Linked DNA regions of Styela clava. The protein of the gene in region 1 binds, or shares a complex with, the protein of each later gene. Links are inferred from orthologs where the notes say so. Each region holds a gene or a part of one and is shown on either strand. Other genes may lie near its edges.

Region 1 (3,758 bases):
TTTATATTTCAGAAGCATTTTGAAAAACATACTCAAAAACTGTAATTTTGAATTTCGTGTTGACACTGAGGAAGTGTCGTGCTCATGAATTTAGCACCAGACATGACAAAAAGGGTTCCAAATTTGTTCCGCATGTGCAGATTGATGCCTAAATCAAAAGTTGAATTTTTGATGCGTATCCAAGATATTTTGTAGAGGAAATAGAACATTCATTTTGAATAATTCTGGTGCTTAATTTTTCAATATGGATTTAAATTCTACAATTAATGAACATCACTACTTGGTTTAGCCATGAATTTCAATCCAGTTTTAATTGTTTACATTGGTGGACAAACATGCAATACCATTTATATATGTAATTCACATTTTATTTTGTCTTTATAATTATGATATGTTGTTAAAAAATCGTCAATATCTGTCTGACGGGACAAGACTGAGAAATGAGGGAGGTGGTGTATGCTATAGGTTGCCCATAGAGGTGGGAAAAAGTCTGGCAGGACAATATAGCTGTTCATTTAGAATAGAATGGCAATAAAATCACGAGCTTTTACCATTTGTTAGGTACGATTAAATAAGAACTAAAAGTTTGCCTCATCTCCCTGAACAACTGCACTGTTTTTTGGTAGCGCAGTTTTGTTGAAAGATCAAATTTATATTAGCAAACTAAATATTTTTGCATCGGTTTCACCAATGTGTGTTTATTTAGACTCCATAATCGGCATAAAAGACGAGAAAAAAAAAAGATAAAATCAGGATAGAACTGATTACAGACGGAATCAGGGAAGCCAACAAAACCTTAGTAAGATTCAAAACGTGCAAGATAGATGTTGGATTGAAAGAAGTGGTACATGTTCGCTTTAGACCCGTGCGGAAGGAAGAAACGCAAGATGAGAACATTCAAACTTTTTTGTTTACTGGAAGTATATATAGTAGCGCACGTTAGTCGTTGGTAGCGCACGAAGTCTTTAGCTTCGGTGTATCGAGGTTTTATATATATATATATATATATATATATATAAACAGTTTGGGAATACGCTATGACCCCGGCGAAGCTGAGGAAGAAATTTCCATCATAGACAGCGACCATTTTTAAATCTATTAATAAATAAACCTATCAACATATATGTCTAATAAAACTCAAGTTTCTAACTGTTGCCCACATATTTAACATCTTGAGTAGTTGATATCTAAAATTGAACCTGTTTGCCAGCTTATTTGAGCGGCGGTGAACTTCTGAATTTAAATAGGAGAAATTAATGTTCGCCACCATGCGACGCGGTTTGATTGACTTTGTTTGATTGTGTTGCTGGGATTTCCCCGAGTACATGCGGCGAACGACAGTTCGCGCTCGACTTTTGTCTTCATTGCAGGGTGTTTGTTGAGCAATCGTATTCAAAACGAAAAGCAGTGATCTAACTATCGAAATTCACAAAGACTTTTCTGTTCATCGGTCGAAAGTCGCAGTCAAGTCAAGTCAAGTCTCCGTTTAAGGATTTTGATTAAGTTTAACTATAATTAGTATCTAAATTATAACTTTAATAAAATCCTGTTGTTGAAAGTGTGAAACGATGTCCGAAGATGTCTCTATACTCTGAGAAACTGAAACAGAATCGTAAAAAAGATGAGGAGGAGAGAAACACATTAGACAGAACGAAGTGCATGGCATTGAAATTTAATGATGAAAAAGTAATTCGAAGAGAAGATATATGGCAATTTTTTAGAAAACTGAATATTGTATTCGACACTGTGGACGGATTTGTACTTACGTCCAGGTACACGGTGGACTTAACATTTAAAACAAGAGCAACAGCTATTGATGTGGATAAGAAATTATGGGAGCTTAAAAAAGTAGGTGCAGAAACACTTCCTTTTCATAGACTTTATGTACCGGAAAATGTGGCAGTATTCGTACACAATGTGCCATGCCCAATGGAAAATAAAGAAATTAAAGAACACTTTGAAGAAAATCACGGAACAATAGGAGAAGTACTTATATTGAAAGATAGGTTCAACATGAAAAATGGCATACGAAGATTTTTTATAAAAAAAGACGATTTAATGAAAAAACCAATTCAAAGTTACGTAAAATTAAAAGGACATTCACTTTTTGTCAGATATTGGGGGCAGACCCCAACATGTCGTATTTGTGGCAAAGCTGGCCATATAATGAATAATTGTGAATATTTCATTCCAAAATTAGAAAGATATAAAGACACAGGACAAAGATCACCGAATCCAGAACAGACCAAAGTTGACGAAACTGAAAAGGAAATAGACAATGAAGCTAAAAAGATTACCAAACAAGTAGAAAAAAACAAAATTGATAATACTGAAAATAACATTAGTAAAAAACAATTGATAAATGATAATCCAACCCAGAGCACTCCCGCGAACGAAATTAGTGAAGATCACAGTGAGAAATCATCCATAAGTCCAACCCTTTTGCCAGAAATGTTTGGAAATATGTCTGACATCAGTGAGGATAATAGTGAGATAATTACATTGAATAAAGAAGAGGAAATGCAATCCAATACAGCAGAAAAAACAATTTTGTATTTGTTAGAACCTCATACACAAAACCAAGGTGAAAATTCACAGTTAACCGTGGACAAGTCTTCTTCTATTGAAAGGTCACCACCAAGAAAAAAGAAAACATCTAGAAAACAAAAGATAATGACTATGAAAGAAGCTAAAGATTATATACACAATATGAGTGAATAAAGTTGTTGTTAAAACGTCAAATCTACTTTTAAAAAAAAAAACAAGAAAAAGAACTCTCACAATGGTAATTTATTTGACGATTCTCACACTTAATGTTAATGGCCTTAGAGACAATCAAAAACGTAGAGATGTATTCTTCGAATTATCAAAAAAAAAGGCAGATATAATTTTTCTCCAAGAGACACACTGCACTACCGATGTTGAACTAACATGGCGTAGAGAATGGAGACATGGCACCAGCATATGGAATAATGGTAATTCAAACTCGAGAGGGGTAGCTATATTACTAAAATCAAAGATGTCAAGTTTTTCGTTTTATAATGTCACATTCGACAACGATGGAAGAGTTCTTACTGCTGAAGTGGATATACATGGTGAAAAAATTCATTTGGTTAATATTTATGCCCCTTGTCGAACTAACATTAGAATACAGGAAAATTTTTACAACGGTATTTACAGATTCCTATATTCTCAACATGCAACAGTTTTTGGTGGTGATATGAACTGTGTTCATGATATAGATAAAGATAGAACAAGTAATAAAAGAGCCAAGAAAGAATATGTGTCTGAAGCATTGAATGACCTTGTAGAAACTTTTAACTTGATCGATTCTGTGGATTTCCTTTCTCATAGTAATACCTTCTATACCTGGAGAAATAACACAATACAAGCCAGATTAGATCGTTTATATTGTTCTCATAGGCTATGTCATATAACCAACATATATTGTTCACCAACATATAACTCGGATCATGACATGTACTCGGTCGATATTCAGATTATTAGTAAATTGGAAGAAAAGGGACACGGATTTTGGAAAAATAATGTTTCAGTCTATAATAACCAAAGTTTTATTGAAGACTTCCAGAACAAATGGAATAGTTGGTGCACATTAAAAGTTTTATTTGATACAAAAACTCAATGGTGGCAAGAAATAAAGAAAAAGATTAAAGATTTGGTGATCAAACATTCAATTAAAATAGCATGGGAAGCAAAAGCTGAATATAATAGAGGGATGAAACAATTGGAAGAATTGA
Region 2 (3,758 bases), on another chromosome or scaffold:
TCTGCGCCGCCGATAACGAACTTGCTAAAGCCGGCGATCTCTCTCCTATTGTGATCGTTGTGACGAGAAAACGGGAGAAATTGATTGCTCGATTTCGGGTGATCGTCTGCGCGTTTCGGACGACCATCCGCATACTTCGGTGGGCCTTATTACGCCACTGCTGCACTGTGACGAAATGGCGTAATTTTTCGGTGACGTAGTCAGGTGGGGGTTAGGATTGACATATGCAAAAATTGTTGAGCCAGGTCAACTAGAAGTACATGTGGTACTAAACTATACCAGACCCGTACTTTTTTGACTGTTAAATTACATGTTTCTACAAAATCTGCTCCAATTTATTTGAAATTTTACAGTAAATAGCAAAATCTTTTGTACGAGAATTTCTATACCGTTCATAAATGAAGGAATTGTTTTTCAAGTTTTTAATTTGAATCAAAAAAGAAACTTCAGTTTCATAAACTTATTAAAAAATAGGGGGCTTATTAATAGGTTGCTAATATGCTCTAATGGGTCTGAGATTGTATACCGAAATTGTTTTAAGCGTGATTCAATCTGAATACTGAGATATCTAAATCAGGGTTACCCAAACTGGGGGGCGAGGGGTCGAGCGGCAAATTTTAGGGGTCACGAAGGGCACACCAATTTCACACAAAGTTTGATATTTATTGAAACTAGTGCAAAACATAATTCTCACGATTTCGAATATGATCAGAGTAGCGGTGCGCTTGCATAACAATGCCGATTTTGATTGTTAGACCAGAGAAGTGGCGTGTTTCCAAATCAACCGTGGGCTGCACAGAAGTATCTAGCGGGTCGTATGCGGCCCGGGGGCCGTATGTTGTGCAGGCCTGCACAGCAAATTTTGCAAAAAGATAAGTGGCAAGTGTTAATTAGATTTAGTGATCAAACTATTACTTCACAGAATCTCTAACACATGTAATAATGTTTTTCAAACTTTATATTATGTAAATACAGAAATAGCTTTTGCTGGTTTTGATAGTTCATAGTTCATAAAATATTTACAACAACATGTCATCAGGAGATGCGAAAACATCTGATAAAGATGTTGTGGAACACGATGAGGAAAAACCGGAGACAGAAGTTGATGATGAATCAGCTACTTTGAATGCAGATGAAACGCCACAGTCGATGCCTTCAGGTAAATATGTAAATCATTGTTGAAAATGACACTGAAATTTTATGTTGTGTTTTAAAGTGTATGTCCCGAAGGATATGAATTTTGATTGTTCCTTAAAAGCTGCCTTTGAAGCAATTGCAGTTTCAAGTATTTCGTGGCGTCTGAAGCTGCCACAAAACCATGGCGACTGACTTTGTAGCTGCCACAAACCAGTGGGGAGCTGCTGTTACCACGGCAGCAAATTGAAAACCAACTGCAGATAAAATTTTGCTGCCGTAACCACGGCATGTCGGCTGTAATGGCAGGGCTGCCCCTGATGGTAATAAATAAGAACTGCGCCTCCTTTGTAGGGTGAAAATTGGTGCCATTGTTCTTTCGCTGAATATTTCAAAACGAAAGCTATTTTGATATAATTGTGATTATGATCTCATTCTGAATTTTCCCCATCAAGTTTACCATAAATGTCTGATATAAGGATCTTAAATATTAATTACAAGCCAATAAGCTCAGGCTTTCACCTTTCCTCTATTCAACAAATACTTTGTCACCGTTAGTTGAGTTGATAAAATTTATTGTAAATGTAATCTGATGTTGAATGGTTTAATATCTGTATTATTGAAATTGTTCAGATAAGGGAATATAGCTTTTCTGATGAATATCCTTGGACTTGGTTGATTTATCCCATATCATCCCCGTCATCTTCAACTTCTTTAATAATGAAAAATTAAGAAAAAATTACATTTAAAAAGGAATCATCGGAAAGCATATTTTCAATTTTATACTTCTCATAAAGTTTATCATAATTTGGCATGTTTTGTATTTTTTTTTCAGCAAGTCAAATAACCGCAGAGATGATGCAGAATCCACAGGTTTTAGCTGCTTTACAAAATCGAATCGAAGATATGGTTGGAAATTCATCAGGATATATTGAAAGGTACGGTATGTTAAAAAGTGTAAATGACCCTGGAAAGATGCTTTTTTCAAAGAATCGGGGTATATCTACTTTTCAATGTATTCGAATGTATGTATGTTTGCAATTTGTGTTGCGAGGTATCAAAGGACCGATGCTTCAGTTAGTTGCCATCGGAAATGTTTTGCTACCTATGCACTTCTATTAAAATTGCTGTGCTGTGTTTTGGGGTGCTGAATTTTCAAGAGCATTTAATTTCTTTATATTCTTGTAGGCCATTGTAGAATATAAATTTGATAAAATAAATAGGTTTATTACATAGCCTACATTCCAATCATTGGAAAAATTTTCATTTCAGTTATTTTAATTTCATTTTGCTGTAATTTTTCAGCCTCCCTAAAGTAGTGAAAAGACGGATACATGCCTTGAAAAATCTTCAAGTCAAGTCAATGAATATTGAATCAAAATTTTTTGAGGAAGTCCATGAATTAGAAAGAAAATATATGGCGATTTATGCACCATTATTTGATAGGGTAAGTTTTTTTTTGTTTATATGAACTCCTTGCAAAATGAAAAGATTCAAGATAGTTCAGAAGTTTGCATTGCAGAGATTTTGCATTGGCATAGCCCACCTAATTTGTTCCATATTTGTTTGCTTGATTCTATTTTATTAAAAATTTCAATTTGAAAATTTTCGATTGGTTATGAACTTAGAGATATTTAAACCACGGATAAAATATAATTGCTTTTTGATCAGGTACTAATATAAATGTTTTCTATAAAAAAGGTAACAATTCCATTGAATTATTTTTTTTTTTGTAGTTTGGCTTATAAATAGTGCAGGTTTGTTCAAAACAAATCTAATATTCTAATATATAATTCACTCAGTGTATGTTTGTAATCGAAAATACTTTTATAAACACCTCATTAAATGCTGTTTGGAAGATTGGACTATTATTAAAATAATCATGTTTCCATTATCTAATTCCTAAATAGTGGAGATTAGTATCATATATTATATTATATATAGTATTATATACAGTTTACTATAACACTACTTAACTCATTGCAGGAAGCCACTTGTTATTATACGTCAATAATAGAACTGTCGTTATTGTTGTAAGACTCCAAACGATGTCATCCTATCGTGGGCTGCTAAATAAGCAGATGTTAGGAATCTCTTTTATAGACAGTTGTCATGTACATTACAGTTGTTTTCAATTAAATGTTTTTCCAATCATTTGACCTTTTCAGAGGAGAGACATTATTCAGGGAGAAATTGAGCCGACTGATTCAGAGTGTGAGTGGCATAGTGAGGATGAAGAAGAAGACGAAAATACTAAAGAAAATAAGAAAAATAAAAATGAAGAGGTGAGAGCAACAATATTTTATATCGCAATACAAGATATTATTTTCATATTACAATTTTTTGCTAATTGGATATTATTAACAAATGTTCAATGTCGATATATAAGTTTGATAATTAGTGATATAATACATTCAAAACCATTGGAATCAATTGGTAATCAGAAATGCTGAAATCAGCTTCACTATCCACTCATCTCTCAACACTGAAATTGATCAAGTTCATGCCATTTCTATGCAGTCGACTTATGGGTTATAACCTATAGGATTAGGATGGTCATCGTCATCATCAAGCCAGAACATTCTTTGTGTTTTTTATTCTGTCATTTATCTGTATTTGTTTGA

The links. Proteins that work in one complex are often made in the same cells at the same time.
Region 2: the proteins of (E3-independent) E2 ubiquitin-conjugating enzyme UBE2O-like (region 1) and nucleosome assembly protein 1-like 1 are in contact, whole or in part, in a cryo-EM structure (PDB 7UN6), measured with the Homo sapiens proteins. The link is inferred for Styela clava from reciprocal best matches to the Homo sapiens genes UBE2O and NAP1L1. Residues at the interface, in NP_071349.3 of Homo sapiens: Ser225, Asn226, Val282, Lys283, Pro284, Val285, Lys289, Ser290, Lys291, Phe292, Arg293; in NP_001317160.1 of Homo sapiens: Arg333, Arg337, Thr343, Gly344, Glu345, Ala346, Ile347, Asp349.

The regions. Positions count from the first base shown.
Region 1 is NC_135256.1:11,167,785-11,171,542, reverse strand, and holds the start of (E3-independent) E2 ubiquitin-conjugating enzyme UBE2O-like, read left to right. Parts: upstream 1-1,275; 5' UTR 1,276-1,435; intron 1,436-1,443; exon of another isoform or gene 1,444-1,578; coding exon of another isoform or gene 1,579-2,721; intron 2,722-3,758. Other genes in the region: ATP-dependent (S)-NAD(P)H-hydrate dehydratase-like, read left to right, coding at 1-45; uncharacterized protein LOC120339753, read left to right, coding at 1,579-2,721. UniProt on the Homo sapiens protein: E2/E3 hybrid ubiquitin-protein ligase that displays both E2 and E3 ligase activities and mediates monoubiquitination of target proteins. Negatively regulates TRAF6-mediated NF-kappa-B activation independently of its E2 activity.
Region 2 is NC_135257.1:697,619-701,376, forward strand, and holds the start of nucleosome assembly protein 1-like 1, read left to right. Parts: upstream 1-974; 5' UTR 975-1,029; coding exon 1,030-1,159; intron 1,160-1,969; coding exon 1,970-2,072; intron 2,073-2,439; coding exon 2,440-2,581; intron 2,582-3,302; coding exon 3,303-3,419; intron 3,420-3,758. UniProt on the Homo sapiens protein: Histone chaperone that plays a role in the nuclear import of H2A-H2B and nucleosome assembly.